Macaca fascicularis: one gene and its partners. The protein of the gene in region 1 purifies or fractionates together with the protein of each later gene. This does not show direct contact. Links are inferred from orthologs where the notes say so. Each region holds a gene or a part of one and is shown on either strand. Other genes may lie near its edges.

Region 1 (4,267 bases):
AGTCACAGCCTCCACTTTCCCCTCTCTGGATCTCAGTCTCTGCCAGTGTGAAACGAAGGCGATGGGCTGGAACAGCATTAGCATTACCTGGGAACTTGCCAGAAATTCACATTCTAGGCTGGACGCGGTGGCTTATGCCTGTAATTCCAGCACTTTGGGAGGCTAAGGTGGGTGGATCACCTGAGGTCAGGAGTTTGAGACCAGCCTGGCCAACATGGAGAAACCCCGTCTCTATTAAAAATACAAAATTAGCTGGGTGTGATGGCGCATGCCTGTAATCCCAGCTACTTGGGAAGCTGAGGCAGGAGAATCGCTTGAACCCGGGAGGCGGAGGTTGCAGTGAACCAAGACTGTACCATTGCACTCCAGCCTGGGCAATGACAGCGAAACTCCGTCTCAAAAAAAAAGAAAAAAAAAAAAAAAAAAGATTTTCACATGCTAGAGTCCCACTGCAGACCTAGAGGGTCAGAAACTGGAGTTGGGGCCCAGATATCATTTGCTTTAACACGCCTTCCTAGGAATGCTGCTGAGAACCACTGGGTTAGAAAATTCCAAAGGCAAAGCTCTTTTAGCTGTAAAATTCTATTTGTGCTCTAAGGTATGATGATTTAATAGCATTCTCTTTGCACGGGAGTATTTCTTGCCCAAGAAAGGCAACCCTTCAGGGTAAGAAGAGAAGCTTGCTTTGACTAGCTGAAATCCAGAACCCAGGTGAGCTTTCCAGAAAGCCTTAAGAGTATGCGGCTGACTTTGAAGCCGGGTCTTTTATTTACTTGTTTATTTTTAAGTAGTAAGTCTTAAACTTGGCATGTGATAAAAGCAGTGGTTTCTGTAGTCAGAGAAATAAAGATGAGAGGAGAGCTGCTTTCTTTTCTCAGCTCCAAAAAACCATGACTCACTGTGGGGTGGGTGTGTCTAGGGGAGGTCGGGGGTCCTTTGAGAGGGCAGTTCCTCTCCCTGGTTCAGGAGCTTCCTGGTGTGTAAATCCTGGACTGCCACCTCCCCCCTTGGAGAGCACTGATTACAAAACCCTCGGAAGAGCCACCAACAGCCACGGTGGCGATTACAACACAGAGCCGGGTCGACAAGCTTTCGTGAGGTTTGGCAAGACAGTAAGAATGGAAAGAATGTCTCGTCTTAAAGTTTTCCCAGTATGGACTTAAGACCAAAAGTCATCATCAAAAAAGATAAAGAGTGATTTCACGGAAATGCGATGGTTTCTTCATGCAAGAATGGGGAACACCCAGACCATCCTCTGGAGAAGTGTGGCTGTTTGGGTCAAGGCATGTCGGTTCTCACGGTGTTGGTGTCCAAGAACGAGCACTTATGAGACCTACTGCCCAGTGATTTCCAGGGATTCCTAACCTTCACTTGGTGGTATCTCAGGAACAATGTGGGTGTGTAAATATATACATGTATGTATGTGTATGTATATGTACATGTATGTATGTGTATATTTATATATAATGTGGGTGTGTGTATGTATGTATTTCAAGAGATAGGATCTCCCTGCGTCGTCCAGGCTGGAGTACAGTGGCGCCATCAGGGCTCACGCAGCCCTGACCTCCCAGGTGCAACCAATCCTCCCAGCTCTGCCTACCGAGTGGCTGGGAGCACAGGCACACACCACCACGCCCGGCTAATTTCTGTATTTTTTTTTTTTTTTTGGTAGAGACGGGGGTCTCGCCATGTTGCCCAGGCTGGTCTCGAACTCCTGGGCTCAAGCGATCTGCCCGCCTTGGCTTCCCAAAGTGCTGGGATTACAGTCGGGAGCCACTGCGCCCAGCCCAATGCTAATAAATATCACAACTGTTTTTTTATATGGCACTGGCCACGTACCAGGCATTGTTCTAAGTATTTCACATTTATTAAGGAATTTAATTTTCACAACAAGCCCACGGAGGTAAGGACCATTATTACCCGCCAATTACAGGTGAGGAAACCTCCGCCCAGGGAGGCTGCGTCATAGAACTATAAGTATCCTGTCACCAGGGTGCAAAGAACCACGGACCAGCACTCAGGCGCCAGGTGCCCTGGGCTCGGCTTGGCTCGAGCGCCGGGCTGCCCCACCTACGGAGCACCGAGGTGGGCTGACCCGGAGGGTTTCTCCGACCACTTTCTGCTCAGGTTCTCAGAGTCTGTGCGGGTCCATTTGAGGCTGGGTCGAGATAAGAGCCCAGGCGGACACGTCCTGAGATCCGGGTCTGTGAGGCCTGGCCGCGGGCTGTCTGGCGCTGGGTCCCCTCTGGCCAGTCGCCCCCAAGACGCCAAGCCCCAGGCTTCGCGGTCCTGGGAGAATGGACTTCTAGCCCTTCTCAGGTGTCCATGTCCGGAGAGCCCGGAGAGCCAGAAAGGAGCTGGCCAAAGCCCAGCCGGCGGGACCCAGCACAGCGGCCCAGCCACTGCCAACCACGCAGTCCCTTTAACCCCGAAAACTTTCTCCCTCGATTCGGGACCCCAGCAGACACACATTGGCTGCGAGGTGGGCATCCGGACCCGCCCTCTCTCCTTATCTACTGGCTGTCGTATACATCTATCACAAGCCAAGGCTTCCTAATGGCCCAAGTTCTTGTCAATCAAGAGTGGGAGGAAAGCTGGGCGGGGCCAAGTCGGAGAGCTACACGCCAGCCTCATTGCCCTCCCTGCCTCAGTGACTAGGCACCCGGAGGCTTCCCAGGGGACCGAAGCTGGGTGCGGAGCACCGGGGCGGAGCTGTGGGGGGCTCCAGGGACTCACCGATGCGCTGTCCCACTGGAGAGCTGAACGGGTTCCCCAGGAGAAAGTCCATTGCTGCTACTGCCGCTGCCACCAACCCCGGGAATCAGCTGACAGCAACCGCCAGCGCCGCCAACCCGTCACGTGACGCACCCGAAGGCCGGCGAGGAGGCGTGGGCGGAGCGGTGGCAGAGCGGAGCTGGACCACAGGCCCCGCCCTGACGCGCCAGGGTCCCGCCCCCGAGGCGGAGGGCGATGACCTCATCGTCGCTTCCTAGGCGGCGGCGGGCGTCACGCACGACGTAGAGCCTGGGGGCGGGGCCCGGGAAGCGCGGTCCTCTTTAAGCCACGCCCCTGACCTTTTAGGGCGGGGTCTAAAGGACCCTTTACACATTTGGGAAACTGGGTCGTAGACCAGGGAAGTGACTTGGGTGAGATTACACAGAAGCCGAGACTCTTAGTGTCACAGACCTTAGTCCTTGGGACCTCACTGTGACTGCACACCTACTCTGGGTGACAGCCTCTCTGGGCTGCTGTCTCCTTGCCCCGATAGGACTCTTCCTGTTTGATGTCAAGGTCTCCCCGCTCCAAGATGCACCCTGCTTGCAGCCCAAATTATCTTACCTTCAATCAGAGGTAAGGGCAAGGGGTTTGTCATCTACTGAGACTGAGAAATAATTGAATGAATTGCAGCGCAATTCCCTCTAGCGCCCAGGATGGCAGAAAGCGTAGATGTAGTCACGAGTGGGGCTTTGATACCCATCTCTGCCATAAATTTACTGTGTGAGCCAAACACAGCTCCCATTTTCTCTAGATACTGGAATTAGATCAAGGACTCGTAAGCATTTTAAAAAAATATTTTATTTAGGTCACAGTCTCCTTGGAGAATTTGACAAAAGCCATGAGGCTTTCTGAAGAAAAAAAGCAGCGATAGAATTTTGCTTATAACCTCAGGGAGTTTCTGGCGTCCCTGAAGTACAACCGTGGACCCCAAGCTAAGAATCTCAAAGGCCTTTCCCAGCGTTGAGACTAATCTCTTCAGCCTTCCTGGCTGTGTGTGGTGTGTCTGCTGACCCCACACACTAGATAACCTATCTATGGGTTATGACCTTTTCTTCTGACATGTACTCCAAAAATACAATAACCATGGCCTTAGTAGTCTGGCTACTGTGGGTGCTTTAGTATTTATTGTAATGTTTGTGGTTTTTAAATCTGAAAGACTAGTAAATTGACTGCACAAATTTTGGATGATAGAAAACCTAAATTAAGCAAGGCGCGGTGGCTCACGCCTGTAATCCCAGTACTCTGGGAGGCCGAGGCGGGCAGATCACGAGGTCAGGAGATTGAGACTATCCTGGCTAACACGGTGAAACCCCGTCTCTACTAAAAAATAGAAAAAATCAGCCAGGCGTGGTGGCGGGCGTCTGTAGTCCCAGTTACTCCAGAGGCAGAGGCAGGAGAATGGCCTGAACCGGGGAGGCGGAGCTTGCAGTGAGCTGAGATCATGCCACTGCACTCCAGCCTGGGCCACAGAGCGAGACTCCGTCTCAAA
Region 2 (3,769 bases), on another chromosome or scaffold:
CCCCCGCCCCGCAACTTTATCAACCTTGTAAAGGCTGTCTTTCTTGCACAGCTCTACACTCTGTTTCCAGCGATTGTTGCCTTTGAAGAGATAAGCAGCAATTCTCCTGAACTCAATGAGTTCATGTTTTTCCAAACGCTGAGCAAGCGAGATATTGTCAAAGTTGTCATAAGCATCTATTGATGTTCGCAGAGCCTTAAAAAAAAAAAAGCCATCCAAATGCCAGATCAGTATTTTGTTTAACATTATATTCCGTCCTCGATCAATGAGCCCCTTAGATGGTAGGTAACATGTAGTATGACACCTAGATTCAAGCATCAAAAGGTGTTTTTTCACCTTACCTAAAGATAACATTTTCTCCAAGATATTTCAGTATCAAGGACTAACATACGGCTATGAAACTGACGAGATTTCTAATTTGGAGGGCAAGTTTTGTTTTTTTTTTTTTTTGAGATGGAGTCTCCCTCTGTTGCCCAGGCTGGAGTGCAGTGGTGACACAATCATGGCTCACTGCAACCTGCCTCTAGCATTCAAGCGATTCTCCTGCCTCAGCCTGCCAGGTAGCTGGGACTACAGGCACGTGCCACCACACCCGGCTAATTTTTTTTTGTATTTTAGTAGAGACGGGGTTTCATTGTGTAGCCAGGATGGTCTCGATCTCCTGACATCATGATCTGCCCGCCTCGGCTTCCCAAAGTGCTGGGATTACAGGCGTGAGCCACCGCGCCTGGCCTGGAGGGCAAGATTTTATTCCCTAGAGAAACTTCTGATAAAACTCAGCATGGCAGCAGTAAGATCTGCATGCACGGAGCCTCAAAGAAAATCAAGAGAGAGAAAAAAAGGCAAGGAGCTTAAGCTTCACTCTACTTGACTTTTGCTTATGCGAAATCCTTCGTAAGATAAAGTTTATACAAATACTAATAAAACAGTAGGAAAGAAAAATGGTGAATATAGTTAATATCAAATAAATTTTATGAACTAGTTAAGTGATCAAAGACATTTTTGACTCTACCTATAATCTAGATGTTAGAGATAAAGTAATCATATCTTTTTTCAAAAGCAGTATCTTATACAAGATCTGAGCAAAATTCTGAAAACTTGGCACTTAATTAGAAGTAAGATTTATCAATCCTGAAACCTTACTAAATTTAGATCCTAGGAATGCAAGCAACTACTGTTTACAATCCTAAATGATAATGGCGTTTTTGAAAAATGGGAAAATGTAACTTTATGAGTCTTAAGATTATGTGCAAGAATCAAAAGGTTTTACCTGATAATCTTCTTCTGTAATAAAGAGGTTGTTTAATGATTCATTCACAGATTTGTTGTTATGGTTCTGAACTGAACGCAAATATGGTTTCACCAGTGGTAGCTGTTTAACCTTTAAAATAAAGAGTTTGTTACAAATATAGCACATTATTGAAGTCCCAGGGACAAAAGTTATCCTAATATGTCCTAATTCCTTGCTATGAAGCTTTGGTTTAAAATTATTACTTTACCTTGCTGAAATAATTGACTGCACGAGTGTGATCCAACCGTGGAGACAGCACCATCAGCAAATCATTTAACAACAGAGGCTTGAATTCTAAATAGAACTGTATTGCTCTATAGTATAGTTCCACATTGGCAACCTATAATGGGAAAATCCATATATAAGTCAGTTACTTCCTAATGAGCTTTCTCCTTCTGAATCCTTTATCTTCTGAAGAAAGTACACACCTTGGTAATGATATCTTTGAACTGCCCTTCTTTCCAGGCATCAGTTGGATGATTCATCATGGTAATTATGGCATTATCATATTCTTCATACTTGTCATACAAAAACACCAGTTCTGCCCAAAGATGAGCTTGTTCTGCAGCTCTTAGCACCTGCATAAGAAAGACTTAATTGCTTTAGATATGAGTCTAGCTAACAGCCTTAAAAAGAATAAGATATTTTGAAGTATTAGTTTTAACTACACAGTTGCTTCACTGTGTTACAATGACTGGTTACCTTGGGAATATTCACTCTAGACCAGAACAGCTCCAGGTGCTCCCTCATTTTCTGAGGCTTAAATTTAGAGTATAGAATAGCTAATTCAGTAAACATTCCCATGTGAGCTCGCTCAAGTCCCAGTGCTGCTTCCAACATGGTAATCAGCTCTTCAAAATAGCCACGATCCTGAACAAGAGAAATGTGCAGTTAAAGAGTATCTATGGTAAAAGATCTCAGGTCATATAAAAGTTTCTTGTTAATTACCTGATAGTAGTTGATAAGTTCTTCTAATTCATCTGCGTGTACAACAATATGAAGTCCACACATCTGAGCAAGACGGAATTCTTTCCCATCTACACAGGCGAAGCAGACCTAGAATAAACATTTCCTTTCTGTGAACTCAAATGCAAACATGGCTAGTTGTTTAAACTAATGTTTACAGAGCGTTTCTTTAATTCTTCACTCAAACTTGGGTTTAGATTACCTCTTTCCATGTTCGAGTACTGTTAGCTTTCCTAGCCCCATCAACAGCTGCCTGATATTCACCCAGGTGAACCAGGGTAGATGCCAAACGTCCAAAATTGGAAACATTATTGTACAACAACTTAGCAGCATCATACATTTTTTCATCATAACAACGGTCACCAACCTGGAAAAAAAAAGGTAACGCATATTCAGTAAGATATTAGTGTGAGCTTAATCCTCTTTTCATATTCATACCTTCACACTGAGAAATAATTTGTTTTCCTGTAGATTTTTCCTTGGAATTCTTCAGTTATGATGTTTTGATCCTACCAAGCTAATCAAGTAGCCCAACTAGTTTTTCTTAAATCTGAAAAGGAAACCCACTTGTTGGATATGAGCATTATTTGGTCCATTGATAAATTCTTCTAACTCTGCAAGGCGGTTTGTTTTAGCCAGCGCAAATATCAATTCTGTCTCCACATAGGACTCTCGAGCCTTCTTACGGGCCATCTGCAAGTACTTCACCAGTTCTTCCCAGTTTCCTAAGTATAGAAAAAGAAAAAATATATCCAAACACTAACATCCCAGTTTACCTTTCACCCAAGTAAATGAAAATTGCTCATTTCCTTTTCAAGGAAACATGGATAATGACAAATGTAAACTGTGCAATATTTCACTTCTGTATTATCAAAGACCAAATGAATAGAAGAATTCTCTTTTTCCTTAAAGTTGTAAGATTAGAGGATTATCAGGATTTTATGAGACTTCAAAAACAGAAAATTTATCTTCCCCACTTGTAAGTTTTGTGAACTTACAAATTCACAAAATACAGCCTCTTTTTATCTGGACTAAGATGGAGTACTAAAAGTTTTCACAGGAAACCATGCAGTATCCAACTCTTCTACAATTCAGAACAGACAGATATCTTAATGCTTAGCTTAATCATTTTGTGAGGTCTCAATACATAAGGTAAGAAGTCATACCACTAGTATTGGCAGCCTGAACAACTTCCATGTAGGAGGAAGGATCGTCTGCTTTGATATAAGAATCAATGGCTTCTTTCACCATTCCTTTCTGCAACTGGGCTTTTGCAAGTTGACTCCAGACCGCAGGTTCATTGCAACGTTCAGCAAACTCATATGCCCGATCCAAGTTTCCAATATGTTCAATTAAGACCTAAGTACCCAAGTTTGAAATTGGGGTTAGAGTAAAATCAATCCTACCCAGAGCAATTACATTTAAGCTGTTAGTATTTTATTGCTCTTCTATTGCCATAGGAACAAATTAGGCCCACCCTCACAGGACAGTGCATACACTGAATGAGTAGAA
Region 3 (3,769 bases), on another chromosome or scaffold:
AGATGATTTTAGAACAATATTTTTTTTAAAAAAAGGTTCAATGTCTACTTTCCAGAACATAATAAAGATAACTCTGAAAAAATTGGAATTATATATATATATTTTTTGCAATGTAGGTAGACATATTAAATAACATATCTTTTTTGTATTTGCAATATTTTTATAATTTAATCATTTGGGTTATCAATATAAGAATATGCACATATTTTCAAACACAAATTATTCATCTTTAGGCTATAATATACAACCATATAATGCTGAGTCTCCTTATTTCATTATAATAAATGGAAAACAGTTACTGAGTAATAAACTGAAGTCCACAAAAATACAAGGATTCAAATTTGCCTTTATCTGACATTTATGGTTTTTTTCCAGCATGTAAGAGACTAATAATTCATATTTAAAGACATACATGTGCCTTACTCAAGATGCTAATTGACGACGGGTTGTAAAAAGGAGCAGATAACTCAATGATTTAAAAACAGATTTAAAAAACATTATTACTGTGGTAAAATACACAACTACAAATAGGTTTTTAATGAAAAGGAGATAGAACAATTATTTACGTATTGCCTCTCAAACCCAAGCTCACCCTCTAAACTGGGCTCTTGGATGCCAGGTTGGAAGTCTGGAAAGTGCAATTCCCAGACTCTTGTTACTGGCTTTGGTCAGCTTTTTCCAATAGCAGGCACTGGTGGGAGACCATAAGGTGGGAAGAAATGAGAAGGAATTCTTTGTTTCTGGATCCTGCCAGGATCTTTGCAGCAGCAACACCGCTAGATACAGCTGCTAGACTCATGATTTTCAGTACTCCTAACATCAAATCTGGAGCTCTACTTTAGTCATCTGAGCACCAACTCTATGAGGCCTCTTGATGGTGCTGTGACCATGGCTTCTGACTCCAACATCTGCGATCCAAACACCTCCTGGTGCTCCTACACTGAGCTCTAGCCTCTCCCCTTTTGTAGCCCCAAACTCCAGTTGTGGTGGTTGCTTCCTGCAGTTACTAATTGCTGAGGCACTTGAGCACAGCCTTTTTGCTCTTCCAGTCTTCCAGCCTGCATGTGTAACCAATTCCCTGTATTAAATCCCTCTTGATATTTAATCTGGTTTCTCTTTCCTGACTACATTAGAGAATTTCTGGCTACATTAGAGAATTTCTATTTTGATAATTTATCTTTAGTCTTAGACACAGCATTTTCTTCTATTACCTTCAACATTTGGTTGTTTAAGTGCTGAGACTGGCAAAGTTGTTGGTGAAGGTATACTGGACGTCTGGTTCTCCTGAGGAGGCTGGACAATAGTACATTCGTCGGAATGATTAGATTTAAGATTAGAACCAGTTGGACTCATCATCCTTTCAAATGCCTGAGCTATAAAGGGGAAAACAATAGTGTTAAAATCTCAGATGTTTTTGTAATTTACTTCAAAGTAAATTTCAATAAATATTCTATTTTTCAAGTTGTAACGAGAAAGAAAGAAATGGCTAATCAAGAAAAAGAAGTAGCACTTGGCAAAGATACTGTCTGAGTTGGCAGCATGCCACTTTGATAAGCTACCAATAAGTTATTTCAATATTATATCTAAGGTGTATATTTGATATCCACAGAGAATAACCCTTATTTAACATGACTATCTCTGTTTTCGTCCTTGTACCCCTAGAGTCTATTTCCAACACAGTTTAGAGAGATTCTTTTAGACATAAATCATATCTCATTATTCCTCTGTTTAAAATCTTTTAATGGCTAACTAAAGTGAAAATTTAAGTTGTTACAATGGCTCACAAGACCCAACATAATTCATCCCTACCTCCTCCACTTTCCCAGTTACATGTTTGACCTCATCTCTCACTACAATGCCACTCACTCGCTATGGTCCAGCCACCCAGACCTCCTTGTTCTTCAAGTAAGTACTCCTACAGCTTAGAATCTTTGCTCCTATTATTCCCTTGGCCTAGAATGTTCTTCTCATACTCACACAGCTTTATTATCTCACCTCCTTCAAGACTCTGCTCACATGTCATATTACCATAAAGCCTTACTCTGACCACATTATAAAAAATACTACCTAAGGCCAGGCACAGTGGCTCACGCTTATAATTCCAATACTTTGGGAGGCTAAAGCGGGTAGATCACTTAAGCTCAGGATTGCTTTGAGACCAGCCTGGGCAACATGGTGAAACCCCATTTCTATCACAAATACAAAAAATCAGCTGGGCGTGGTAGTGTGTGCCTGTGGTCCCAACTACTAGGGAGGCTGAGGTGAGAGGACTGCTTGAACCTGGGAGATGGAGGCTGCAAAGAGCTAAGTTCGCACAATTATACTCCAACCTGAGTGACAGAGTGAGACTCCATCTCAAAAAAAAAAATTCCTTTTGCCACTAATCTGTTAACTATCTATCACTCTTACACTTTTAAAATTTTTTAATTGAAGGTAGTATCACCATCTGATATCTTTTTGTTTACTATCCATCTCTACATACATTCATAAATTTCATGAGAATATGGCTTCTATTTTGCTCTCAGCTTGAGCTTCAGAATGCAGAATAGTGCCTGAATACTGCTGAGTGATTCTTCATCCAAAAAACAAGGTACATTGATAGCTCTCCCTTCAGCATTTCTCCAAACTGATCTGCTATAAATGTTGCCACTGCTAAAACAATCTTCCTCAAGTGCCACTGAATGATGGCACTCATAAAATGGCTTCCATTAACCAAGTGAAGTCCAAACATCTTACTCTCAATTTCAAAGTAATTTCTAACTTGCCTCAAATCTACTTATTGACATTCACATGTGCGCTTCCTTGAAACTCACATAATCTCAGGACAGCTTTCTCATTATCTACTATCTCTATTCAAATTATCTTTTTCTTCCAATCTTTCACGTAGTGTGTCTCACAACCCATGAACCATCTTTCTCTTCTCATTTGATATCATTATTTTAAATGATCACTTCTATTATTTTCAACCCTAAAGCTGATATTAACTTTTATTTATGCTTTCCTGTGGCATATAAATTAATAATAAATAGCACCGTAAATGAAACTATATGCTATATCAAAATAGAATAAATTTAAACAGATAACTAAATAAACTAATTCCACAGTATTTTCTTTGATAAACCAAAGCTTGATTTCAGTATTCTACTGAATTTCTTTAATGATCATATCTTCTCCCCTCCTGGACCCTTAGAGTCAAAATATGTCTGAATGCTCACCCAAAAATCTGACCTGTCAACATAAATAACGTTTCAAATCCTCATGGATGTTTAATTTCTTTTTAATGGGGGAGATAATTATGTGGGAGCTTGCTCTAAAATTTCTGAATTCTAGCAGATTGCCTTGGCTAACAGCACCAGCAGTCATCTTCTAGGCTACTGAAACAGCATAAGAAAAAACAAAACAACTATAAGCACTTAAACTGACCTCTTCATAAACAATGGCGGTAAGATGGAAACATAAAAAGATTTACACTTTGTTATCTTCCAGAGCAGAGGTCAACAGCAGGGAGAAAAGCAGCTTACCTCAGGCTAACAGACTCACATCAGAGCTTTTTGAAGAATTGCTGAAAAAAGTTATCTTCATTCAAAAGAGAAAAACAAATTATTATCAGGTATTCATTCCCCCTGGCTAACAGGAAGCAGTGCCTGAGGTAGTGCACAGGTCTGGTCAAAAAAGGCCCAAGTAATATTTGCCAGGAATTAAACTGTCAACGAATCTTTGAAAATGCCAAGTGGTACTCAAAAGAATAAACATGGACTTGGGGAAAAAA

The links. Proteins that work in one complex are often made in the same cells at the same time.
Region 2: the proteins of TOM1 (region 1) and CLTC purify together in Homo sapiens (affinity purification with western blotting, with the first as the bait; 3 studies listed by BioGRID). This does not show direct contact. The link is inferred for Macaca fascicularis from reciprocal best matches to the Homo sapiens genes TOM1 and CLTC.
Region 3: the proteins of TOM1 (region 1) and ZFYVE16 purify together in Homo sapiens (affinity purification with western blotting; 3 studies listed by BioGRID and IntAct, with this or other methods). This does not show direct contact. The link is inferred for Macaca fascicularis from reciprocal best matches to the Homo sapiens genes TOM1 and ZFYVE16.

Annotation. Positions count from the first base shown.
Region 1 is NC_088384.1:16,368,588-16,372,854, forward strand, and holds the start of TOM1 (target of Myb1 membrane trafficking protein), read right to left. Parts: upstream 2,824-4,267; 5' UTR 2,789-2,823; coding exon 2,737-2,788; intron 1-2,736.
Region 2 is NC_088390.1:47,024,733-47,028,501, forward strand, and holds part of CLTC (clathrin heavy chain 1), read right to left. Parts: intron 3,617-3,769; coding exon 3,424-3,616; intron 2,983-3,423; coding exon 2,825-2,982; intron 2,625-2,824; coding exon 2,460-2,624; intron 2,348-2,459; coding exon 2,240-2,347; intron 2,162-2,239; coding exon 1,994-2,161; intron 1,870-1,993; coding exon 1,720-1,869; intron 1,632-1,719; coding exon 1,500-1,631; intron 1,382-1,499; coding exon 1,271-1,381; intron 196-1,270; coding exon 25-195; intron 1-24. UniProt on the Homo sapiens protein: Clathrin is the major protein of the polyhedral coat of coated pits and vesicles. Two different adapter protein complexes link the clathrin lattice either to the plasma membrane or to the trans-Golgi network.
Region 3 is NC_088380.1:84,381,636-84,385,404, reverse strand, and holds part of ZFYVE16 (zinc finger FYVE domain-containing protein 16), read right to left. Parts: intron 1,374-3,769; coding exon 1,212-1,373; intron 1-1,211.